4 linked regions of the Caenorhabditis elegans genome follow. The protein of the gene in region 1 interacts with the protein of each later gene in a pairwise test. Each region holds a gene or a part of one and is shown on either strand. Other genes may lie near its edges.

Region 1 (7,772 bases):
GAAGGAGTTTCTTGGGCTCGACCACTTTAGTCTTAACTTGAAACGGTGTTAATAATAGAAATAGAAATTCCCAAGAAAAAAATGTTAAGAGACTTGGAGCGAGTTAGCAAAAATAGGTACCGATTTGTATAAAAGAAAAATCGATAATAGTCACAGCCTCTATCTGAGCTTTTTTGAACGTTTTTCAAACTTCTTGTATATTCTTAAGAATATGTTTGTGTAAAACGCATTGAAGCTAGTTCCCTCAATTTAGAATCTTTACTATCCAAGAAAGTTTCAACATATTTTCCCTCAAATTCCATAAATATTTTCAAACTTCTCTCACCATTGGAGGAGAGTATCCAGCATTAAGCATGGAGCTACATGAATTTGAATGTGGAAGATATGGTCCAGATGATAACAAATCATCATTTGTCTGTGTTGCCACATCTACCCTTCTCACGAATCTTCGATCAGACATTGGCGGTGAGATACTCTGCAAACAAACAAGAAATTAGATTTTTGCACACTCTTATCATTGCCATTTATCAGTTGGTAGTTGGCAAATTTCAACTTTCAATTCTCCGAGAAACTCCGAAATTTTATAGTTTTAATGAGTTTATAGTTTTAATGACAATTAAAAGAAAAAGATAATGATATAAAGTTTGATCTTTCAGTCATTTTTAGTGAACTGACCTCTAAACAAATTTCAGCTGGATTCTCGAATAGTGGTGGGCTAATGCTGCTGCTGATAAGTTGATCATCAAATGTTCTATCTCCAAACATTTCAGCTAACAAGTTATCTCCACTTGCACGTCCTCCAAGAGCTTGACAGAAATGCATGTTTTCAGACATCAATCCGGAAAGAGTCTGAAATGTTTTGAAATAGAGAATGCAACAGTAATGACGACTAACAGTAATTGTTGGCAGAAGAAGCAACAAGTTTCCAAATCGGCTGCTTGCAGAATAGATTGGATGAAGCTCCTTGACAATTTGGAAAAGCATATCTTGAACTTTATCTCTCAACTCAGAAATCGCGTGCCTCGCATGCTCGGATAGTCCTTTTGCATTTGGATTTAAAATAATAATTGCTTTTAATGGAACAATTTCTTCTTCTTTCAGATTTAATTTTCTCAATGGAGCCACCAATTCATTTAACGTTCGATCAATCAGGAAGTTTGAGAGATGACTGAATAAATCAAATTAATTTTCTTTAATTTTAAATAGTATTTTTCATATATTTTTATTGCGTTGATAAAAATTGGAATTAAATTAAAATTCCAACTTACTTTGTCTCATTAAACTCTGGAGGCAATCTTCTTGGAACAAATGAATGACTGCAAAGACACAAAATATCCGGATTCTTCGTATTCTGAGCAGTTCTCGCAGAGAAATTGAAAATAGTTAACGGCGAGTAACAACTTTTAACCAATGCAACTTTATCTTCAGTATCAACTGCATCCGCAATTTCAGTTAATGAATCAACCCAATCAACAGCTGCAATTGCTCTTCTATGAGCAATTACTCCAAGTTCTTCAGTTCTTGCCATTCGAAATGGTTCATAACCAATTTCCATCCGTCGACCATCTAATGCAGGTTTTGATTCAAACATTTCCCGTAATGAAATACTTTTTGGATCTTTTGCAGTGTTTTGTGCACTCATATTATTATCTCCTTTTACTACTTTATCCTCAATACTCATCAATTGCATTAATAAAATTCGAGTCTCGACAGGAAGTTTTCGTGACCAATCATCTCCTTGTAACCGCATCTGAAAATTTCAAGTATTAATTTATACATCATTCATGTATAGTGTAAGTTATTCTGGATTTTATCAACAACACAAACTAAATTTTAACTGTTTGAATATGCATAAACATTTTTCACTCGATTATTCCAGAACAAATAGAAAACATCACAAAAAACACTCAAATCATTTTGAGATTTTCCATAATTTTATGTCAAGTTTTTGTGAATTGTCAAATTTTTGGAAATTTTAAATTTGCCACCAGTTTTTTTTCAGTGTATCTACATTTTCAAAACATACCATATGATTTAAAAGCTCCTCATCAATTTGCTTCTTCTTAATTCTTGGAACTTTCTGTTTTCCTGTCTGATCCCTATCCGGCCTGACTGCTTTTGGATCCATTCCTGCTTGAATACAACGTTGAAATCTGCAGTATCGGCAACTATTTCGCTGGACTGAAAACCGAAACTTCAGGTATTTTCTTGATTATAAAGATACTCAGTCAAGTATATTCGAATTTATTCTTTAAAAAACTTACATTTATCAACAATACAATTATTTGAGAATCTGCATGCATATCGATATTTTCCAGTCAGTGTTCTTCTAAAGAATCCTTTACATCCATAACATGCAAGTACTCCATAATGTAATTTTGCAATTCCGTCACCACAAACAGCACAAACTGAATCTCCATTCTGTGATCCACCACTAGAAACTGTGGGTTGCTTGTCACTGGGCCTGATGATATATGACGTGGCGGGACCACTTGATGACGTGGCACCGCTTGTCCTTAAATCTCCTCGCATCATTGGAACTCTGGAAATTTTAAAGTTAAAAGATCGGGAAAATTAGTTTCAAACACAAAAATAATAAAATTTAAAAACTAGAGTGTGTCCTTGAAATTTTGATTTCTTGATCTTCCCACAATAATTTGTGTCTTGGAAAATACAACGTTTTTTGGTGAAGACGGAATTACATTTTTCAAGTGATTAAACTTTCAAAAGAGTATTATATTTGATACGGTTTTTTCAGTTTCAAAATTGCAAAATTTTGTGTGTGGAAGCGGAATTGAAAGTCGATAGGCACTTTTTTGTTATTGTAAAAATTCATTGCTTAATCGGAGCTAAATGTGCAAAGTTTTCTAGCCAAAAGGCATTTAAGAATCCAATTAAAAAATCATTGGAACAGTGACCAATTCCATTGATGATAAAAAAAATTCATAATTTCAATTTGTTGCAAACTATCAAAGTTCACACATCAAAAAGACCAAAAAGTTCCACGTGGAAAAACTGACGTATTTGGGGGAATACCTATGGGGCGGTGTCTCTCTATGATAATATTACAAAATGGGGGAAATTAAGTGGGAGTGACATTGAAATAAAAGGAGATGAAGGAGGAGAAGACGACGACGATTTACTGATAACAAGGCGAAAGAGACACTGATTTGAAATAAAGAAGAAGAAGAATACAAAACAGAAGACGCTTGAGAGGATGAAGAGAAAATGAAAACATAAAGATTAGATGTCACTAAGGTTTTGAACAAATAGTAAATAATTTGTTTAAAACATTTTAACACCTGTAACTTTATTTTAGAACAGTATTTAAGCTTGTTTTTCACATCAATTACTTGTTTTTTAAATCAATTACACCAGTACAAAATAATTTTTTGTTGATAAACTACTTGTATATTTGAAAAAATGCACTCCCAAAAACATTATTTTCTCAATTAATCTTGCTCAACTTTGGCACCTGATATCTTGGCTATTTTCGATTGAATCAATTTAAAATCAACTGGCAGCAGATGTATTATTAATTTTTCTATAGTTTCAAAGCTTAACTTTTTTTTTGTTGAAACGAACGGAGGTATATACTTTCACAGTAAAATAGTCCGAGTTTTTGAAGTTTCATAAGCGTTTTTGAAGAATTATCATGCCAGATTTCGAACAGTTCCTAGTTAGGAACTATACTGACCAAAAGAGACTGTCGAGAAAATAAGAACCAAAGGAAGAGAGATAGTAATGGAAAAAAGAGAATCGAAGAAAAGAAACGAGAGAAAAATATGAGGTGGTTCGTGTCCGAAATCTCGACCTCCGAACAAGGCAAGTAAACAGGCGCGAACCTTTCCTCAAAGCACGCACACAATGATGATTTCCGCTTCGTTTATCCGCACAGAATTTTTTTTCTTCATTTTACAAGAATTTATTACCTATCAATCTTATAACCCTTGTCCCCCTGTAGGCTTGCCAGACTTGCCAATCACTTTCTAGGTCATTCTACTAGAGGAGGGAAAGGTGATAAAGATACATGAAACACAGACGAGAAACGGATGATGTCAGTAATAAATTAGAGATAGCTTTTAGCATAGGATGCCTATATTCTCCAATCAAACACTTAAATCTTCTTTCTGTTTATCCTTAATTCTAAATTAAAAATCAACGATTCGAATCAGTAAATGTATGATGTCATATTTATATCAAGACGTGCAGACTAATTGGGCTAATTGGATGTATTGCCTTTTTGTAAAGATATATTAGAAGATCAAATGATAGAGCCTCTGACTACAAGGATCCAAAATGTCACCAAAATAAATAAAATCGTAATGCTTTTTGTCTATCGAATTTTTTTACGGGTCTCATAAAATTGGAGGAGGCATTTGGAGATAAGATAACTTGTATCAATTGTTGTTTACAGCTGAATAAGGAAAAGGTTATTGGATAGGATAGGGGAAGTTAACATATACTAGTTTATCTATAAGTAGATGCTGAATTGTGATCTAGAATCAAAGCTGGATTATATTTTAAAATACTTTAATTATCCTGTTTAAGCTTTGCACACGAACAAACTACTAACTAGAGATTTTTTCAAATTCAAATATTTTATACTAAAAGTAAAAACCCGCAAAAATTATTTTTCGAATCGAGTAGAGAATACTTTTAGCTATTAACCTTGTGGAGTGAATACTAAACTGTCTTTCTGAAAACTTCTAAGAATATAATCAAAATTGAATCTCAAAAGAAACTTCTCACTAAATTAAGTGATCTTCTTCAACCGAAGAACACATCTGACTCATATGAACCGATGCAGTTCGTCTCGGTTTCTTGTAGCAAATTCCTTTTATCAATCACAATCATATCTTTCTTCATTCATTCAAATTGATCGATTACCGTCCTTGAACCCTTTTATTTTACTTTTTCTCAATTTCCATGTAAACCATTCCTCAAGTAGCATTCAAATCACAAAGATCATTCACCTATCCCTTTTTATCGCAATTTGATCATTCTTCGCGCGCATCTTGTCACGTGCCTCTTCACTCATTTCCACGCCAAATTTCAAAGTTTCCACGTGGCAGGGTTACTACTAAAGTGGCAAGACAGTAGTATTTACGATCGACGCGCTTTTACAAAGTATGTGTGAGATGGTGGTGATCAGAGGTAGTAGTGCCATTGATAAAATTGCAAATTATTATCACAAAAATGGTTGTTGCGTCGTGGCGGGGCAAGAATAAGATAACAAAGGGGAGACTCTGTCCTATACAAAAGGGAATTAGAATTAAAATGCAAATAGAACACGTACTTGCAGCTTCTTGAAAACTATCTAATGGCTCTAATGAGTTGAGATAATTGCTCAAAAGTTCATTTAAATCATTGTCAATTGATCTGAAAACGTCAGAAGATCAGCGATTGATTGCCAAAATGTCGTAATTTCTTTGAAACTATCAAATGCTTTGATATCAGAATAGATGTAAAAGTTTAAGGCCTGAAGGGATTTTGTATCACATTGACTTTGAATAAATTTAGATTTAGCATTAAATGGGGTTTCAAGTAAATCTTTTCTTTTCAATTTTCAATGTTTTTATCAAAGAGCCACTAGAGCTATATATTTGAGATAAAATTTTTTGGCGGCTTCGGTAAACAAAATTTTTTGAAAATTATTTATCTCACAAGTTCAAAAAATTAAAGAAAAAACTATGAAATGATCTCCAACTGATCAATTGAGCAAATAAATCTTAATAATTTGATATTAATTCTCAAAAAAGTTAGGGTTATGATGCAAGTTCAAATGCACAGAAAAGTTATAATAATCGATTTACTAACCTTTCAACTTTCACAACTCTTGTACCAGGTCTTATTGCATAAGTTGGTTCTTCTTCAAGATATTCATCACCCCAATACTCCCAATCTTCGACATCAAGTTGTTCCATTTTAACAGATGGTGCTGCAAACGGCAGCGTCGATATGGGAAAAATTTTGAATTAATTGAAATTAAAATTCGTGTTCTTCTATTTGTTGTTGCTGGAAAAAAGTATATATAAATGTATACATATTAAAGCAACGGATTTCAGAAAAATAAACGGTGAAAATGAAAGAAAAAGGGACGGTAATTGTGGTCGGAAGGTGGACAGGAGGATAGACGGACGGACAGGATGGATAGACGGTCAGGCGGATTATTAAACGGGTTTAGGTTTCATTTGTATATATAAATATATGAATGTGTTTAGATGAAAATATATATGAAAACGGAAAGAAATTAAACGGTCAATGTATTGAGGTGTCGGGTTATCACATCTTTTAATGAGATTTTGAACGTAATTTCTCTGTAATTAAGAAAATTCAATTTTAAATAAAATTATCTCCAGAAATAGAAAATTACTTATTTGACTAGATTCTACATAGTTTGTTTTAAAACCTTTCTTTAATAATAAAATATTATTTACATCCCGTAATTTATATATGGATTCCTTTTACCTTTCTCTAAGTGAATTAAAGTTAAGAAAAAAAATCGAACGGTCAGTTTAATGTGTACTACCTCTTGTACGTCCAAGTGGATCATTTCAAAAACATTGTTAAGTTCTAATCAAATATTGATAAAGTTAGGTAACGACTCAACCAGTCGCACTTTTCTTATTTTTATTTGATTTATTGGAGAAAGAAACGAGAGTAGGTTTCCATTTATTATCTATTTCTCGTTTTTCTAAATTAATATTTTCATTTTAGAATTTAAGAATTAGCTTCTGATAATAGTTCATGTCCCCCTTACAAATCAGAGTCTAACGTGGCAGCAGCCAAAAATTTGTGATTGATGATAACGAGTGACGGTGGCGGAGAAGGACGCAAAAAAAGTTTGCCAAGCCAATTCAGCAAGCTGGCACACCACCGATTATTGTTCTGATAACTGAAAAAAACCACGTGTGAAGAAGAGGAGCTGCCAAGAGATTAAGGATTGTTTAGTGGACATTTTAAATTTAGAAATCCTTTTTTGAAATTTGGAAAAATATGAATAAATGAAGCTTGAAGATTCAACAAAATTTATGTTATCAATAACCAAACATTGTTATGTTTTCTTCAAATGTTCTAAACTTTTGGTAATTCTCGGAGTTGGACCAATTCAAACAATATACAATTCAAAACTATTTTGGAACCATCCAGAATACTATGGAATTAACATGAAATAGAAACATAAACGTGTAAGTTATGTAAATGAAAATATGGAATAACCGAAACTTGTTAAAAATGCAAAATGACGGAGCGGATTGGTGAAAAGAAATACGGAGAGGATTATGAAAATGTATATGGCTACTAGATTATACAGTACTTTGAACTATTCGTAGATCATTTCAGCTCTATGACGACCACAACGATTGTCCGATTGTTCTTTTCAGATTTTTGAACTTTTAAGCGAAAAAAATTGAATTTTAAAAGTTATAATGTAAAGAATACACATTAATATGAGTCGAACTCTTGGAGATTATAGAAAATATTTAAAATTCTTAATAAAAGTTGAATAGACTTTCTGACTTTACTTGATTTAATCAAACTGTTCTTCGATAATAAATTGGCACAAACTGATAATAACCTGCCAATAAATCATATATTTGTGTTTCGACTTTTACTAAAGATTCTGCAACATTGAGACGTGAGATGGGAAATCCCAAGTTGATGGTTTCAAATAGAAAAGGAAAAGAAAAAAGAAACAAATAAAATATGATGGTTCTGGTGACTGTGTGTGTTCCGCCTGAATAGTAACGTAACAACGACGGGATTTTGGG
Region 2 (5,905 bases), on another chromosome or scaffold:
TCCTTCCTTGTCTAAATTTTCATTTGTCAAATATTTTCAGATAACGTTAACATCTGCACTTACATGTTTGTCTTGCAACTCTGCGGTGGCTTTCATTCGTAACAAGCTCCTTCCAGAGCACATTCGAAGTCTCTTCAAAACCAGTTTTTGCAGTTTCCAGTTGAGCAGTCATGTCTCCCATAGTATAGAAAAGGACAGGAGTAGCAGTTACCATAATCAAGAAAGCACTTCCAGAAAGAATGACTGCAAATGAGACAGTCGACGAAGACGACTCCATAGTTTTGTAACTCATTGCTCGAAACAAACAATGGAGAAAAACTTGGTTGATGAATGTTGTACCCCACTACCGTCTTATATACAACATGTGTTATCTAAAACTCTGATCGGTATGTTCCGGAAGTTGTCCTACTCCTTCCCAATCTTCACTTCAAACCACTTTCATTTGTATTATCTGATCCTTGCTACCGCTTCAACAAGTTTTTGCATTTGCATATTCTGGATACCAGGCTATTCATTCCATTTTGTTTCAAACGTATCAAAATTTTATTATTCACTCCATAAATTGAATTATGACACTTCATATTAATCGAACACCTATACAATCGGCTCAAAAGAGAAGAATATATAAAAATAGACGAAATCAGGCAACGGGAAAAAAAGGTAAAACAAACAAAGACTACTACAACGACTATACAAACTCCTCAATAGGTTATACATTAGGTTATAATAATAAAAAACAACGGATTACAAATGGAAATAAGGAGCAAGATATCGCTGGTGTAGATCAATGCCAACAATGATAAACGGCATGCTTACAATTTTGGAAAAAAAAATGATTGAAAGAGCAAGTCTGTCTGTCAATGGGTAGGAAATCTTCAAAAAATACTAATCCCCGAGGTAAGAAAAGAACCAAAAAAACAAGAAGAAAAAAGTACCCCGTTTTGAAAAAGGTGAATAAGAGAAGTTGAAAGAAATGTCATCGAAGGCGTCAAAAATGGGTAAGTGCGCAAGCTGAATTACTCTATCTAAGCAACAATAATAATAATCAATTTCAAATCAACTGTGGTTCCATCATCTGCTGGCCAAAGTTTGCGCCAAACAGCATTTGAAACTCGTCATTCGTTGGTACCAAAATTTCCGGATCTGCTGGCTGAGGCTGAAAAAAAAGTGAGCTTTAGTTATTTGTTCAAATATTAACTTTTGTAAACGTACAACAATTTCTCCAGTTTCAATCAAACTGCTAACTCGCGTGTGGTAGCTCATGTGCTGATTGTAGCTGGCCTCGTCAGCAAATGGTCTATAGCATTTCTGAAAAAATATATATTGTATCGTAAATCCAACAATAATAACAAATTTTCAATCATCCCACAGACAGAAAACCACTCAAATTACAACGTTATAGAACTCACTTCGCAGAAAAATTCAAGACCCTCCCGATGATTTTCGTGTTCGAGTGTGTGATGGCTGACACAATCCATTCTGGTCATGAATTGAGACTTGCACACTGGACAATCATGGCTGAAATTAGGTAGGTTTAATGAAAATTTTAATTTAAACTGTGTAATGTGTTCTCTTCTATTATAATAGTTCTATTAGTTCTATTAGTAATGCACTGCTCGATTTTGGGAGCTTACAACTCAGTTGGTTCAAAAAAATTCAATAAGTATACAAACCCAGGCATATATTAGGAAATGAATCGCACCATGGGTGTGCGGCAAATTCGGCAAATTTGCCATGGTTGTCATACTCAGTAAATCGCAATATTTTTCGAGCTCAAAGAGGGCCAAAATTGATTTAAAAAATAAACTACGTTTACTGGTTTTTGTTCGAATTTTGCCTAATGCGCGTGTGGATTTCTTCAATAAAAAATAAAAGAAACACGATGTTATGTTTACTTTCATTAGGTTTCTGTTCAAAACCATTAGTTTTGTACAAAATTTTTATAAAAATTGTTTCATGTGTGCGGCAAATTTCAGTATTTGCCGGGCTCGGCAGATTCGGCAAGTCTACATTTTTGAAATTTACGGAATTCGATGAATTCGGCAAATTCGGCAAATTTGCCGCACACCGAGCGCTTTTCAGATATTATACTTATACTCACTTTCAGTCCTACATTCACTTTTTGATGCTTTCTATGCTTTCAACAATCTTCCAGCCATTTTAAAACAAATTATAAAGTACGCTCTCTTTTAAGATAATAATTCAATCAAAATTTGACGAAATTTCGTAGCGAAACTGTTGCAAAAAATTTGAATTGATGTCAAATCTTTCTCAAACGCACGGAGAGCAGGTATGTATATAATATGTACCGTAATTCTGAGAATTCATGTGCTCAAACGGCATTTTCCACTCCGATTTCTTTTCAGTTCAAGGATAAATAAACTCACGTCTCGAATGCAATGGACTTTGCAATCTCGAAAAGGTTGCCCCAACGCTCAAGAGACATGTTGTTGAAGATAGTGTCTTCGAGACGTCTGATCTTGTCCTCAAGCTCAACTTGTGGCAGAAGATCTCCTCTTCTCAACTTGTCCACCCAGTGCTCTGGTTCTCCGAGTCCAAGCTTCCTGAAAAAAAACATTCGGTAATCTCACATTTTAATTGTGCATGCTGGATGTCTGCTTACTTCTTCTTCGGACGAGGCGGCGGCGTGTAGTACGGTCCTCCGGCTCCACGAAGTACGATGGCGTCGTCAGGGATGTCAGCAGGCGGCCGACGGTTGCTGAACCGAGATTTTGCCAATACTGGCGTTCCGTTTTTGTTAAGATCAAACCTGGCAAACGGCCTCCAGGCAGCTTCCAGCTCTTCCTTCGTCGTGACGTGTGTGCGAAGATGCTTCTTGAGGTTGCCTTTCAGTCTGAAAAAATTTAAAAAATTTGTTTGTTATTTCTCGTATCGCCTAAATAATTTTTGTTGATTATATTTTTGTGTTTTCTACCCGCAACATTTAGATTACTGTCACGAGTGCCGTTTTGAAATGAGTACGGCATGCATCTTATCTACGCCTTTTTCACCATTCTAACACTATTTCTCTTCGTTTTATCGATTGTTCTACAGTGTCGCCTATGGCATTACGGTGTCTCTCGTCCGTCTCTTTTTCTCTACCGTTTCTCGGCCCGTACACTGTACACACCGTACTGCGCATTAGCAGAGGAGAGTCGACTGTGAGAGAATGAGAATTAAGGGGAAACGGTCGTTTTCGCAACCCGCCACATTTTTATTACTGTACATTTGAAAGAGCACAGCGAATGTTGTTTAAAAAAACCACTAACCGACAAGTTTTTCCACAATATGGACAGGCGTGAGGAGTGAAGCCGGTATGGACTGAACGATGCTCAAACAAGTTCGACTTAAACCTAAATGATTTTGAACAAATATCACATCGGAAAGGCTTCTGATCTGTGTGTATCACTGCATGCTGCTGGAGACCTGAAAACAAAATCAGAGTTAGACAAAGCTACCGTATTTTTCAAAAAATTACCTTTATAGGAAACAAATATTTTGTTGCAAACATTACACTGGTGCACAGCTCGAGGGGTCATCATTCCTTCCACCATCTCATCTTCTTCAGGAAACCCCATTTGATACTGAAATTGATTATGATGCCCCTGAAATGGTTTCAGAATTTTTTTGAGTACCTGAGAATAATCCTGCTCATCCATCATCATTTCGGAGTCATCCATGTGTTGATTGTGGTGATAAACTGACTGATTCGACCCGTGAGTCATACTGGAACTGTTGAATTCAGAGAGGGACTGATCCGCAGAATTCCGTTGACTCTGAAAGTAGAGAACGTCTAAAAAAGTAGGGAATTTATAAAAGATTCGATAAATTGAAATTTGAAAGGAGTTTATAAAAGGAAAGGTTAAAGTACAGAAGCGAAATAAAAATGAAAACATGGGTTTCAAGAGATTTCAAAAAATTTTAGAAATTTTTTTTGAAATGATATCTAGTTACCTGCTTAGCATTTCTTCTGGTTAGCATGACAAAATTTGCCTCAGACAGCTTAAAAACAGCTCGAGACTGCTAGATATTGCGAAAGAAGCGTCGAATTCAAACTATTCACCTTGCCGCCAAGTGCAGAAAGGGTTATGGTATGAGAACGATACGGTAAGAAATGCGACCACTCGGAGGGGACGCGACGCGGCCGCAGCGCAACGAGAAAACGAGACGCAGGCGCGCAACAAACAACAAGGATAGTGAGCGAGAGGACAGAGGTCACCACCGTCGCTTGCTGTTCGTGGTTTTTACATCGTTTCTGATAACTCAGCAAGTGTAGAATTTAGAAAATAATGAGTTTTTTGTGTATTGCGAGTGTTTAGAAAATTAGATATAAAAAATTAAACTGTATTTTTATATTATTTCGTAATAATCGTCATTTTTTACAATTTTTTTTTCAAAATTATAAAGTGCAAATTAAAACATTTTCATTGCAATTTTTCGGAATTTTTAAAATTGTCTTTTTTTTCTAAATAAAATACAATTTTATGAAAAAAATTATTTTAGTTTTAGTCATGGTTTGGTCGAAAACACAAAACAGGTGCAAAAATAAGCAGATGCGTTTTCATAATCTCAGGTGGCCGAGAATTGAGAAATTGGTTGCTAATTTTTGGGCTATGGCAAGTCTTAAAAATAATTTGCATCAGAAATGTTTTATTGAAAGTAAAATTAAGATTTAATTATAAATAGAAGTTAGTGCTTGGAATAGTAAAAGTCAATCAAATTATACATGATCAATAATATTTTTCCTAACATAAAAGACATGTATAATATTGTCACAGCTGCTTTTGGAACTGAACAAAACCCAGCAAAAGACTTCAACGATTTTGGCAAATTGAAAAAAGTTAAATGAAAAAATAAAACCTTGAAATTTGAAATTGGAAATTTGAATGAAAATCGATCAGGACTCAGAAAATCGCATCTATTCGCTATGAACACTATTCGATATTCGTGCAACGCCGTAAGCCCCAGACGAAGAGCAGATGTGCATCTTGCCTGCTGCTCGCACGCATCCACGCTGGCTCACCGTGTAACTCCAAGTATATTGGGAGTTGTTGTTGTTGTTGTTGTTGTGGAGGCAGACGTGGTTGTTGTGGTGTCCATTTGGAATCGGAGCAGCAAACGGCGTGTGTTGTTCATGGAAATTGGACTGGTGCTGCGGATGGTGTAAATTCATCATTCTGAATTATAAAATTAAATGTTTTCGGGTTAATGAAATTGAAAAATAAATAAAATAAGTGTATATTAATTTCGAAAAAAAAGTGTGAAAACGGTTAATAGTAGTTTAATACAAAATTAAAAAGTTAGAGATCTCTTGAATTTTAAAGCTTTAGATTAAATTTAATAAGATTTATATATTTATTGATAATTTATTGACTACAAAGCAAGTTTGTTAACAAACACAACAAAACAAATAAAGATTGACATTTTGTGAAACCTATCAGCATTTATACTATTTATAAAAATACCAATAAGTAGTGTTATATAAATTAATTTACCAAAAATAACAAATTTTTTCCAAATGTTTTTTTAAACCTGAGGAGAAATTTGTGTCTTGTTCAGTTTATGTTCATAAGTTTCACAATTCTAATTGAAAAATCTTGAGAAGGGGAGTTTTGGTGAACTAAAATAAAACAAAACGTTTTTTTTTCAAAAATAATATATTAAGCCAGAAACTCGAAAAATTAGTCTTTACAATTAGTATCAAAATTTTAAGGATACCTAAAGTTTATAGTAAGATTCCTTCAAAGTGAAGTGTTCTAACAAGAGTGTGAAAACTTGTTCGACGTCTCAGAAAAGAAGTACAATCGCCAAGTTGTTCTGGGAAATTAGATTAAGAGAAACGAGCACAAGTTGAGAAACTCCCTCTACTCAGATACTCGGCGAAGAAAAAAAAACGTGAAAGATA
Region 3 (7,114 bases), on another chromosome or scaffold:
CAAGTGATCAAGTTTGAAAATTGTTCGAAAAACTCTCATTTTTATGTTCTGTCATTTTGTTTTACCGTTTTTTTTAGTAATATATATAAACTGAAACCCTCAATCCTGATGATGCCAAAATTTGTTTTTGTATTGATTTTTATTGAATAAACGTTGATGTACGTTTTGAAACATTAAACCTTAAATTAATTTTTAATTTTTAAGATTATTCATTCAGTGAAATGTACCAGGTTTATGACTTTCACATTGTTTTAACCAATGGTTTTGAACCACATTTCCCAGAAAACAGTGTCTATTACCAATACTCAGAAATTTTAAAAATACTATAATATTCAGCTCCTTTGACACGTAAATTTTAAGATCGTGTGCCGTATTTCGGGATTTTTGGAAAAATGGGTATCGCCCAATTTTTCGATTGTTGAACGAAAATTAACTGCATGTGATCATTATACATACACGATTTAAAAGAGAGAGAGAGAGAGAGAGAGAGAGAGAGAGAGAGAGATTTTATTTTAAATTTTCATAATTCCATATCAAATTGATTGATGGGTTTTATTGGTTCGAGATGTGCATTCATTGGTGGCAAATTTATACAATTCCTGTCATGATTTATTAAAAGGTATATGGCAAAATGATTTGGCAATTCGATGATCGGATATTAAACACTGATGGGAGGGAAGGGGGGGGGGGGGGGGGTGGCGTGGGGTGAGAGAAAAGTATGAAGAACACCATCAATCATACATTTCGAAATAAGTGTTACACATCCACCATTGATGAAGAATGAATGGTCAAGGTGTCGAGGGATACGTAACAAGTGTTTAGAAGGAGAGGAGTGGGGGCCTCACACGAATATTGACTATGAGATGTATGAAACGAGCGAGCGAGGGGGTATTGGAAGAAGCAAAACGGGCAAGGGACCTATTTATTCAGAAAGTGGTGAAATGTTGAAAACTGCGGTGCATGGGCAAACAGCTGTGATGAAACGAAAAGAGAAATAAAGAGATATACGAAAACAGGGAATAGATAAGGTTTTTGGCAAGAGAGAAAATGTTTCAAGCATGTCTCATGGCTGTTTGGTGAGTAGGGGGTCGTCTATTTTGTGAGGTAGAGTACTTGTAAAGTTATATGATTCCAGGAAACAGTTTCTGCTCAAATATCAAAACATCATCAAAGATTCAAGACCACTAATAAAGATTTTGTAAGATATTCCTCACAATTGTGGCTACATTAATTCAAAAACCATTTCTATATTCTACATATTATACCATTCGTTACTCCAAACCGGAACGTTGTATCAAGTATCAAATTAAAATGTAATCGAAAACTAGAGTTTTTGTTTTTCTCCAGTTCAAATGTACTGTGGAGTCATGTGTGGGATTAACTGAGATTCAGGAGGAGGAAGGTTGTAAACATTAGTCGATAAAGATAATGGGGTTGAGAAGTTGGTTGTTAGAACACTCGGAGTTGTCATGTGCATTGGAGGTGGATCGGTAGATGGGGTTTCGTTTCGGTAGTCTGAAAATGTTAAACTTTTTCAGTTTATATTCATATTCCCTTACATTTATCAGGTGTCTGCTCTCTGGAGTGAAAAAGGTAATTGCTCTCGTTCCCATCGTCCATTGGGTGATCCAGGTATACTGCAAAACAAGAATGAAAAGCTTAGCGATAAGCTTCAAATTTCTCACAGTAATTAGGGCTCTGCCCGTTGATACTCTCGATAGGAGAGTTGCTGTCGCTTTCTGCACGATTTGAGGACTTCCACCGGCGACCAGCGTCCTTCTTCAACCGTTTCTCTTTGGCTCGACGATTTTGAAACCAAACCTGATAAAAAATAAAACATTAGCGAAGCCGCTTGATAAGGCAAGTGCTACCTGAACAACTCTCATGTCAAGTCCAGTTTCTGAAGCGAGTTGTTCTCTGACATGTCGAGCTGGTTTACTGCTAGTTTGGTATGCCTGAAATAATAAATCTAAACATTTGAAATAATACATCTATAGTTATATTGAAGTGTAGAGCAGATTTCCTATTAGTCGTGCACTCAGAACGACGAATTAAAAAGTAGTCTAGTAAGTTCTATTGGCTTTGTACACGTAATGGTCTAATAACTCTGCTCAAATTGTTGAGAACTTTTGTTTAAAACAAGTTATCTTAATTATCACTTGCAACACTTATAATAAAAGTATGGATCGCACCTGAAATTGCTAAACAGACAATTCCGGATGTTTCGATTGTATAGTAATATTATATTTTATATTGTAATGTTTTAAGGAATACGAATTTATAATTGGTAACACTAATATTACAGTAAATTGTTTCTGTTGTGAAATGCTCACTCACTAAAGAATCTGACAAGCGGATTGCACTCAATTCTATTACAAATGGCGCCAGAGTGTTGCGGTTTTATGTGGCTCTTGTCAATCTACGGCGCTGTCTTGCTTTACAAAAATGATTTGCTTTATTTTATGACTTCACCTCATCAATGATAAAAACAGTGGAAAGAGCTCACCTGCTTCAAGGTTTCTAGACTCTTGGCGGAAATCGTAGTCCGTGGTCTCTTGTTACTACCATCGCCTTCTAGTTCATTGCAGTCTGGAAGCGAGACTATTGAGAAAAATCGAGTAGCTCTTTATGGAGGACTGATCACTTACGTTTATCTCTAGCCTGCTCATAATCGTCTTTACACACGAGTCGCGCATCGTCGGCAATCAAATAAAACTCTTCTCCGGTTTCAAGAGATCTGAAAAAATATGCAAGTTTCAGAGCAATAAGTTTAAAGTTTACCGTTTGCAAATAAAACACTGAAAACATTCAACATGGTAGACATGATTCGATGCTTTTCGAACAACATGGTCCGGGACGATGCCTTCATTGCAGGAGGAGCATTTGGTACCGAATTTTCTGAAGTTATGAGTTTTGTAAATGAAAAAAAAGAAGACGAATGCAGTTCAGCTATCAAAACTTACAATGCAAAAATTGAAACATTGCACTTGAAAAAATAACGTTATGGGTGGGTTTGGTAGAAACGAAAACTATTAGTACGAGTAATTTCATGAACAAACTCATTTGCTTCAATGTACAAAATTATATGTATTAAGATTTTATTCAATCGAATAATAAATTCTACAACTATAACTATTTTGACAGATGTATTCTAATTTTCTTTTGTTTTTTATAAATGACATAAATGACAAGTAAATATTTCGGTTCACATATAGATTTCCAAAAAAGAAAACCCATGTTATTTGAAAGTTTTTCGATGTTTTTGTTCACTCTTAAAAACAATTCTTCTATGACTTCTGATATGACTTCTGATGATTTCAAGGTTGAGTATTATAAAAATATTTTGAATACTACTGAATCTGAAACTTTTTCATTAAACTCGATCAAAAACGTTTTGAGAACTTTCCGGAAAAATTCAAAAGTTTTTTTTTCACGGAATGCTTTCCTATTTTTAAGAAATTTAAGACCGTAATAAATAAAATTATCAACCTTATTGGAGCAAGTTTACGGTAACGCACTGAATAATTTTCAGATTAACTTTTTTTTTATTAGAGTGATACTCTGCAACCATATTTTTTGTAGTCATCTATTTTTAAAGAAAAATTTTAATCTGAAGTCAGAGAGCTGTGATATTATATTATAAAAGAAAATTGAACGTTTACTCAAAAAAACCTTTTAAATTTTTATTATTATCATTGAATGTTTGAAATCGTTCTCTAATTTTTTATTCTAAGATTTACCAAAAAGCTATCCCCTAGTTTCCAAGTTGAATTTAAATTCTATTCTTCTGGTTGAAAATGTTTTCGCACCAAATATTAAAAAAAAAAAAAACATAAGCTTTCAAAGACAATGTTTTGTTATCATACACTTCTCCGTTCTATTTCAAAATATGTGAGTAAGAAAGCTAAAAAGCCGCACTACGCATTTCTGTGATACCAAAAAAAGCTAAAACTACCATCTTACTTGTAAAAGTGTGCCCGGCAATACATAGAATCTTCGCGCAGGAAACATGTCGCACCAAGCTCGTCTTTACACGTAGAACATCGGAGGCATGATGAATGATAACATCTGAAAAGAATGAAACTTTGTCGAGAAAAAAATACTAGAGAAGAACAGTGAACCCACCTTCCGTTGACCTTTGAAACGAACCGATCTCTTATTTTCTTGTCACAAAGCGAACAAATGGCTTCTTCGTTATTCGGATGGCCTGCATTAACTGTAATAAATAATTCAACTTGTTTCATATAGCGGCGTGTCGGCTAGATACCCATTCTTGACACATATTCTTGACACATGCTTTATGCTTGACATTCTCCTTGTCTTGTCCATTTTCCCTTGCTACACACTAAACCTTATATATTCTGTCATAATATTGTTGACTCCTACTGTTTTTACTTAATTTGTGGCTAAACAGGTTGGAGGAACAAGAGAGAAAACAGGAGGAGGGATATAACGAACCTAACGGTAATTCAATGCTCATCGCCAGAAGCTTGCAGGTGTGCGTCCTCCCCATAAACTGCTAAAGGTACGGATGATGCGCGGAGGTGTGACCAACCATTAAAATATCAAATTTCCAGAAGAATGATGGTCCAGTATTAGCAAAAATATTATGCTATTTTTGTTGCTCAGAGACACAGAAAATACGAACACGAGGCCCGAAACGAGGTATCCGAGAACGCGCGAAAAGGTGTGATAGGTTTCGAAAAACGTTTCCAGTGTGTAATATTGAGTCACAATAGGCAAAAGGATGGTCAACTAAAAAAACGCGAGGAGAAGAAAGTGATAAGCGACAAAGGCCACTGCCGTTGGCTACTGTTATTGTAATATGAAGTATGAGAGAAAAATGGTGTAGTTGTCGGTAATGTTCAAAAGGACAGGAAGCGAAATGACAAGGATGGACTTTTTTCTTTTCTTTTTGTCGTATGACTTAAGAATATGGGGAATACGTTTTTGCTTATGATTCTGAAGTATGAAATGTTTTCACGAAATGGTGTTGAACTAATTTTCTAGATGTTTACTAAAAAGTCCCTTGTCCCGGTTTTAAGGGGTTTGTGATTAAAAAAACAAATTTGCAGCTCAACAGCTGGCATTCTCTGAAAAAATCAATTCTTCACACTATGCATTTTGATAAATACGAGCAATATATGGTACTTGTTTATTAGCTGTTACCCAATATGTTTTCAGTGTATAAAATTCTATGATGTCAACACGTAAATAACCATGATTGCTCCTGCGTCTAAAATACAAAAAGAAAACATTTTTAATTTTTGGAAAAATTGAAAACATTTCGGGGTACAGATACAAAAAATACCTATTTATTTTAATCGAGTATATCCGAAGAATATGTTTCCAAACCTACCATTACTAAAGTCTTCCTGCGGAGAAAGAAGCCCGGTGCTGCACATCACGATATGATTGTCCAGCTCATCGCACTCGCCAAGAGTCAAAATGTTGTGTCCCAGCATGTTTGTTGAAAAAGGCCTCTGAAAATAAACATAGCGAGTCGAATTCGGGATAGACGATTCTGACGATTTAGTTGAGGTGAATATTTAAGCGAAACCAAAGATATAATGTAATTTATTTTCTCTTTATTTTTGTTTATTATATGAAAACAAAAAAGAAAAAGAAAGAAAAAATTTGATTAGCTAAAAGTCTAATTTCAGAAAAAAAAAGTATTCATGAAAAAAAAACCGCACGCTAGCTTGAATAGCTAATGAACTTTTATAAAAAGCCTAGTCAAATGTTTCAGACTCATGATCAAACTCGTATGGAAAGTTAAGAAAAAATGTCGTTAGTCGGTTCTTGAGACTACGTGTATGTTATGCTCCACGAGCCATGAATGTCCCGAAAATAAAGTCCCGCCCATTTCTTGTCTCACGCCAATGAGCGGGTAAGAAGCCATGCTCTCTTGTGCATTTCTTAGCTCTGGGATACGATACATCTCCCGAAACAATGGATTCAAACCTAAAGTTCACTAATTGAATGTTGCTCAAATGACTTATCACATCTAAGCAAATGTTTTACAGAAACGGCCGCGAAAATAAGAAGATTGTTTTTATCATCGATAAATTCAGAAATCCTCTCAAATCCGCTCGTTCCTCGTGATTTTCGGAGCAATAGCATCTTTCCAAAAAACTTTGTTTATATTCTACTTTCAAAATGATTGAAAAAGTGCAAAATTTGAAAAAAGAAAGAAACATTTCAACTTAATTGATGTCAAAAGCAATTAAGAGAGGGTGTCCTAGTTTCATTAATATTGCGTGCTTTTTGAAATGAAATGAGAAAATGAAATGATCAGTTAGGTCAAGAAAAAATTAAATTGCGGCATGAACATGTTTTTGTGGATTATTGCATTATTAGAAACTATTGAACTTTTCATGAATGGGTTCCTTTTAAATGGTAAAAAAAATACTTTAATGAATAGAAAATTACAGTTGCTCATTTTAAATGAAAACAATTGTTGAATTTTCAGGAGTAGAGTTTCAGAATGAAATATCATCTTGGAAACAATAGAATTAACAGAAATTCAACTTGAGGAGCCTAACAGTAGTAAACATTGATCTTAAAATACAAAACAGTCGAAACTATGAATAAGTAAAATATAAACTATTTAGTAAAGTAACCCGATGATTGAATTTCATGGAAGTTTTAAAAATACAAAAATAGCTTCAAAATGTCTATTCAAAAATTATCGTCAAATATACGTATTACCGTATTAGTATTGTTTCTATTAAGCTTAAATCTTTACTGCTCTTATGTGGCAACTCATATCTTGAGTTTTGGATTCTATTCAAATTTGTTAAACTATTGGAATATCAAAAGCACACATATTTGGCACTTGTTCCGACTGAAAATGTTCCGACAAAGCAACAACTTTGAGCTTTCAATGTTCAACAATTGTGGTACAAGACTACTAGAAAAAGTTCTTATAAATTATTTTACTTAATAAATAACAAAAATAAACATGAAACAATGTAAGTTGGTAATGTTCCGGTTGATCATTTTTATAGCAATTTCTGTGTGAGTTTCTTTTTCACTACTTCTATCATTACAATAATATGTGATAGTATATTGCTTGTATTTGTCTAGACTAAATTATTATAGGTTCACGATC
Region 4 (4,999 bases), on another chromosome or scaffold:
TGAATTGTTCATATGTAAATGTGGGAATTCGAGTAGTTGGTTGAAAAACTCTAATATTTGGAATTCGAGGACGAGGTAGTTGAGGTTTTACACAAGATTCTGCCATTTCTGAAAATATCGATTTTTATTTTTCGACGTTAATTTTTTATGGGCCTTCCTGGACCTTTAGAAAGTTTTTAGCAAATTAAAAAAGGTATATCTAAAAAAATTTGTTTTGGATTTTGTGAAATTTGAAAAAAACAATTAATTGGTTTTTTACATTCTAAACCCTTTTAAAACATTTTATAGAAAATTGGGCTCAAAAAAAAAGTACCGCTACATTTTTTCGAACTGCTCAAAAATAGCTTGCTGAAAGTTTGAAAATGTTAAAAAAAATTTCAAAATCTCATCTTTTCAATTTTTGCGAAAGGAGAAAGTTTCAAAATATATTGGCAAACAATAAAAAAAAAGCAAGTATAATTAAACAGTAAAAATACTGAATACGGAAAAGAAAAAAAATTTGAAAAATCTGAGAAAAAAAATCTTTATTAAAAAAAGAAGCAAAAAGAAACTCGTAGGTTAACCAAAATAAACTGAAAATTGTGAGAATTAATTCTCACAATTTTTCTAGAATTTGAATGAAAAAAATGGTTAAAAAATGCAAAATTTAATAGTGGCCTAGAAATTTGAAATTTGAATAACTCTTCCATTTTAAAAACTAATTGCTGGGTGGAATAGAAAACTGAATATATGAAGTAGAAAATGCTAGTTACCCTATAAGTTGCCTAGATATTGGAAAATGAAAGAGCTTTTTCAAGTTTCTGGTCAAAAATGAACAGTTTTTTGATCTTCCATGCTTCCTCCTTGCTCCACAAATTCCTCTTCATCATCTTCAAAATGAGCCAAGATCTTGACGTCATCACCATCACCAGTGAGCATTATAATCTGATTGTTCTGTTCATGATCATCTTCATAAACAATAACTGAATCCTGTGATTCCTCGTGATTCACTTGAACATGATCGAAAATTGGTGTGAAGAGCTCGGGATGTGCATTTTTTCGATGTCTCATGAGATATACACGACGAGCAAATACTGCATTACATCCTTTTACAACGCATGTGTAACGTTTTATACCTGGAATGTTTCAAAAATTGTAATTTTTGTAGATGACTACTCTTTTAAATATTTTTGAGTTAACATATTTTCAATAACACTCTTAATTTGAGAAAATTCTAAAATTTGCAACAAAAAAAAATGGAAATTGCTTTCTTTTTCTAAATTACCCCCGGTTTTAACCCAAATTTCGGATAGTAAAATATATTTTGAATATTTACCAGTGTGTACAGTCATTTCATGTTCTTTTCTAACAGAATCCGTTACAAAAGACAATCCACATCTCCAAGTACATTCAAATGGACGTTCTCCAGTATGCATTCGACGAATATGTACTTTTAAAGAGCTCGCTTTTGACAATGACAAGCCACATTCTCCACATTCAAATGGTTTTTCGCCTGTGTGTGTTCGGATATGATCCTGAAAAATGGGAAAGAAATTTGTATTTAAAAATAAATTTATCTTTCTTTTTTTTATTAAAAATTGTAATTTTTGATTTCAAAGTTTAGAAAATTCAACAATTTTCGATATAATAAATCATATTATATTTTTCTAGAAATTTCAGAACTTGAGAGGTTTATAAATAGAGAGAAAATTGGAAATTTTGTTTTTTAACACATTTAAACCTATAAGCTTTGATTTAAAAAATTTTAATTACAAATATTTTTTTCTGTTTGCTCAGAAAATCAAGTTTCGAATGCTTTTTATCGAAAAAATTGTTTCTCTGTCCAATTCTCAATTTTTCAGCAAAAATTCAGCTTGTGGGCACTGAAATAATTTTAATTTTTCATTTTTCACCAAAATTCGTTTTTTATCGAAAAAAAAACTAACAGCAATTTTGCTCGGATGTTTAAGCATTAATCCACAAATATTGCATTGTGCAAGTGTTGCTCTTCGATTTGAAATATATGCTCTTTTCTGAGGAGCTTTTTCTGGTTCTTCGATCGGAATTTCTTCATCAATCGGAGCCAAAACTCGAGCCAATACTGTATTAATAACGTCATCAATTCGAGCATTAGATATTGCAGCTTTTTCCATTTCTTTTTCTGATGGATATATAGATTGTTTTGTTGTTTGATTTGATGATTGAAATTGAGAAGGTGAAGAGGAAGAAGTTGATGGATCACTTTGAAATATTGAGTCTCTGCAAAGTTATTTTAATTTCTTTTAAATTTACCAATTCGGAAATAAGATGGAAGTTTTCGAATTTAGAAATTTTCAGGAGTTTTATTTAAATTATCAAAGTTTTTTATTAATTAAAACACCGATTTTTTAAATGTTGTTTTAAAATTTGTTAAAGAACAAAAAGTGTTAAAATCTCAATTTTAAAGATTGCTGATTAAACACCGCAATTCACTTTTTAAAAAATGTAAAATCTTATAATTCTTGTTTTTTGTTGTAATTTTTATTTATTTTATCAAGTTTAGTTCACTTCTGCATATACTTACATCGTTGGTGGTGATATATAATTAGCTAGTGCAGAATTTGAAAGTATATCCATATCCATTGATGGACAAACAATCTTTTTAACTGGTTTCAGATAAGGCCGTGCCGGTCCTGCTCGCTTCTGCAAAAAATATATCTTATTCCGGTAATCTTTTAGGATATAAATGCTTGATTCGATGTTTTAAATTTTTCTATAGCATAAAAACTTTTCTTACCAATCCATTATGGCTTAATTCGTGTGCAGTTCTGCGTGAATTATTCACAAATCGTTTGCCACAACCGAAATTACACAGAAATGGGAGATCACCCATGTGTTGAACACGAAAATGGTTAATCATTGGAGTTCTTTGAGTGAATCTCATTCCACAAATGTCACATTCGTATGGTTTTTCGCCTGTGTGAGTTCTCATGTGTTCCTGAACAAATAAAAATCTTCATTTTGTTATAAAAATAAAATATTCTGTACCATAATCCTCGATGGATATTTCAACGCAACTCCACATACTTCGCACGTCGTCACCGTCGGCAACTTTTGATTTCCTTTCCTTCAATTTTATATTTAATAAATTTTTAGCACAAAAATTTCATACTTTTTTCTGTATGTCGAATCTGGAATCTTGACAATCTCCTCGAGCTCTTCGTGCTCTTTTTGCGCGTCGGGAGTGCACTCAGCTGCCCATTCCTCGAAAATTGCATCGGAATTCTGAAAATTTTTGATTTTCTTAATGAAAATTGGAAAACTAAATTGAAATTAGTTATTTTACTTGCGATAAATGTACTACTTCGTCTAAATCCTCGTTATTCTTCATTTTGGTTGTTTATCGAATTTTAGGATCTGGAAAAATACACAATTAATGGCAATAAGGAAGATTTAATCATATAAACATAAAAATTTTAAAGATTAATAATATTTATATGAAAGGAAAAATTCAACAAAAACTGTTTTAAATAGAAGAAAAAGTCAAATATTGATTTTTTGCGAATAAAAAATAAAATTGAAAATAAACAACGACACTCCGATATCCCGTCTTCGAAAGAGCGCGAAATTTGAATTGAGGGTTTAATAAATATAATTCTTTGCAACGGCTGAAATCTTGTTTCTTAACGAGACAGAAGAAGAAGTAATGAATAGATCATTGCCATCACATCTTCATTTCCATTCAAATATTGGAGTTTAATCTTTAAATTGATAAAAGCCGTTCGGATAACATACGAGTAGAAAATGTTCATAGTGAAACAGCAGCACGTTGATCATGCAAATTCATAAGGAAATCAGGAAGTTTTACGAGTCTAAGAAATAGGCGAATGTTTTGTGTTGTGTATTGAGCGTTAGACAAGGAGATTTACGTAGATAGAATATTTTACTTTTAACGTAGATAGAATATTTATTATGAACATACGAGAAGGAATGTGAATAAAGGCTCAATACTCGAGAAATCGAAGAAAAAGAAATTGAGATGCAACATGGAATTTAATAACGATCTCCGTGATGGCGTGAGCGATCTCTTGAATAATCCCGCTTTCTTCTTCTATAGTCACGACGATGGTGATGCTCTGAACGTCTGGGGGTCCACTCATCTGTCGAGGGGCTTCGGCGACCACGCTGTGAAATTTACAGATAGATTTAGTTGGTTTTTTCGCATGATCGAGGAATAAACTAGGTCATTTTGCAAATTACTCACCCTCTGGTTTCTCAATGGCGATTTCGGTGTATGTTCCCTGTTACGTGGCTGGTGTCCTGCTCCACGTCCCCGTTGATTAGATGGAGACATCGGCGATCGCCTTGAGGGGCCCTCCTCCCGCTGCTCGGAGACGTCTGAAATGTTTGAAATCGAAACGATGGTCTGGGACCGCTTTGCTTCCGGAGAGATGAGGTTCCGGAATCAGCTTGTCCACAGCTAGAGTTGACAATGGTGCACCGAAAGACGAAGAACTCGCCCTATTCCCAAAAAAGTTCCCAAAAGCTGGCTGGGCCAAGCGAGGAGTGGAAGGACCTGTAAAGTCGAAGCTGCCTTCTCCAGATCTTTCCTCGACGGCTGGGATTGATGACCCGGAGACCGCACGATCGGAGAGGAATCCTAGACGTGCTGGTGCAGATGAATCTTCTGGCGCCTTTCCACGTGAGCTGGTAGGAACAACATTCTCTAACCGTGACATAGTCACAGTCTTGATGAACTGAACATCAGGAGATGAGGAGCCATCTCTCTGAGGCCCTCTGGAGTCTTTTGGGAGCTGGCGTACTTCGCAAAAACCCATATTTGGTGCAGGGCTCCTTGTAGTAACCTCTTCTTTAATTGGAAGAGCTGATGTGGAAGAACTGTTGAGCTCTACATCGATTTCCGGAACCTGGTGGCTGTAGGATGTTTTCTTCCTCGAGATCTGATTGAAACACGGAAGATCATCATAAGCAGGAGTTCCTCCAGTCCTCCGAGTGTTGTGGGCATAATTGGAGGAAGTCC

Evidence for each region.
Region 2: the proteins of nhr-31 (region 1) and lsy-2 interact in a two-hybrid assay, tested with the Caenorhabditis elegans proteins (one large-scale study listed by BioGRID).
Region 3: the proteins of nhr-31 (region 1) and ceh-14 interact in a two-hybrid assay, tested with the Caenorhabditis elegans proteins (one large-scale study listed by BioGRID).
Region 4: the proteins of nhr-31 (region 1) and let-391 interact in a two-hybrid assay, tested with the Caenorhabditis elegans proteins (one large-scale study listed by BioGRID).

Annotation. Positions count from the first base shown.
Region 1 is NC_003282.8:8,023,496-8,031,267, forward strand, and holds the start of nhr-31 (Nuclear hormone receptor family member nhr-31), read right to left. Parts: upstream 6,019-7,772; 5' UTR 5,928-6,018; coding exon 5,821-5,927; intron 5,163-5,820; exon of another isoform or gene 5,016-5,162; intron 2,543-5,015; coding exon 2,265-2,542; intron 2,182-2,264; coding exon 2,027-2,181; intron 1,751-2,026; coding exon 1,269-1,750; intron 1,169-1,268; coding exon 895-1,168; intron 850-894; coding exon 676-849; intron 476-675; coding exon 326-475; intron 1-325. UniProt on the Caenorhabditis elegans protein: Orphan nuclear receptor.
Region 2 is NC_003284.9:2,087,876-2,093,780, reverse strand, and holds lsy-2 (Zinc finger protein lsy-2), read right to left. Parts: upstream 4,078-5,905; 5' UTR 3,982-4,077; coding exon 3,955-3,981; intron 3,777-3,954; coding exon 3,636-3,776; intron 3,585-3,635; coding exon 3,479-3,584; intron 3,427-3,478; coding exon 3,270-3,426; intron 2,855-3,269; coding exon 2,771-2,854; intron 2,720-2,770; coding exon 2,624-2,719; intron 2,565-2,623; coding exon 2,388-2,564; intron 1,519-2,387; coding exon 1,410-1,518; intron 1,309-1,409; coding exon 1,213-1,308; intron 1,157-1,212; coding exon 1,052-1,156; 3' UTR 528-1,051; downstream 1-527. Other genes in the region: col-164 (Nematode cuticle collagen N-terminal domain-containing protein), read right to left, coding at 1-11, 64-292. UniProt on the Caenorhabditis elegans protein: Involved in transcriptional regulation. Required to specify left-right asymmetry of the ASE gustatory neurons, probably acting upstream of microRNA lsy-6.
Region 3 is NC_003284.9:7,527,268-7,534,381, forward strand, and holds ceh-14 (LIM/homeobox protein ceh-14), read right to left. Parts: upstream 5,466-7,114; coding exon 5,360-5,465; intron 4,595-5,359; exon of another isoform or gene 4,446-4,594; intron 4,217-4,445; coding exon 4,126-4,216; intron 4,069-4,125; coding exon 3,964-4,068; intron 2,899-3,963; coding exon 2,782-2,898; intron 2,738-2,781; coding exon 2,649-2,737; intron 2,590-2,648; coding exon 2,507-2,589; intron 1,956-2,506; coding exon 1,872-1,955; intron 1,822-1,871; coding exon 1,686-1,821; intron 1,638-1,685; coding exon 1,560-1,637; intron 1,516-1,559; coding exon 1,349-1,515; 3' UTR 502-1,348; downstream 1-501. UniProt on the Caenorhabditis elegans protein: Probable transcription factor, modulating expression of helix-loop-helix protein mbr-1 and homeobox protein ceh-63, perhaps acting in concert with ceh-63. Binds to a motif including the sequence 5'-CTAAT-3' in regulatory promoter elements.
Region 4 is NC_003279.8:6,036,781-6,041,779, reverse strand, and holds let-391 (C2H2-type domain-containing protein), read right to left. Parts: upstream 3,378-4,999; 5' UTR 3,350-3,377; coding exon 3,323-3,349; intron 3,244-3,322; coding exon 3,131-3,243; intron 3,086-3,130; coding exon 3,007-3,085; intron 2,957-3,006; coding exon 2,756-2,956; intron 2,662-2,755; coding exon 2,543-2,661; intron 2,239-2,542; coding exon 1,926-2,238; intron 1,515-1,925; coding exon 1,316-1,514; intron 1,116-1,315; coding exon 805-1,115; 3' UTR 513-804; downstream 1-512. Other genes in the region: szy-5 (C2H2-type domain-containing protein), read right to left, coding at 1-106; C27A12.4 (C2H2-type domain-containing protein), read right to left, coding at 4,299-4,999.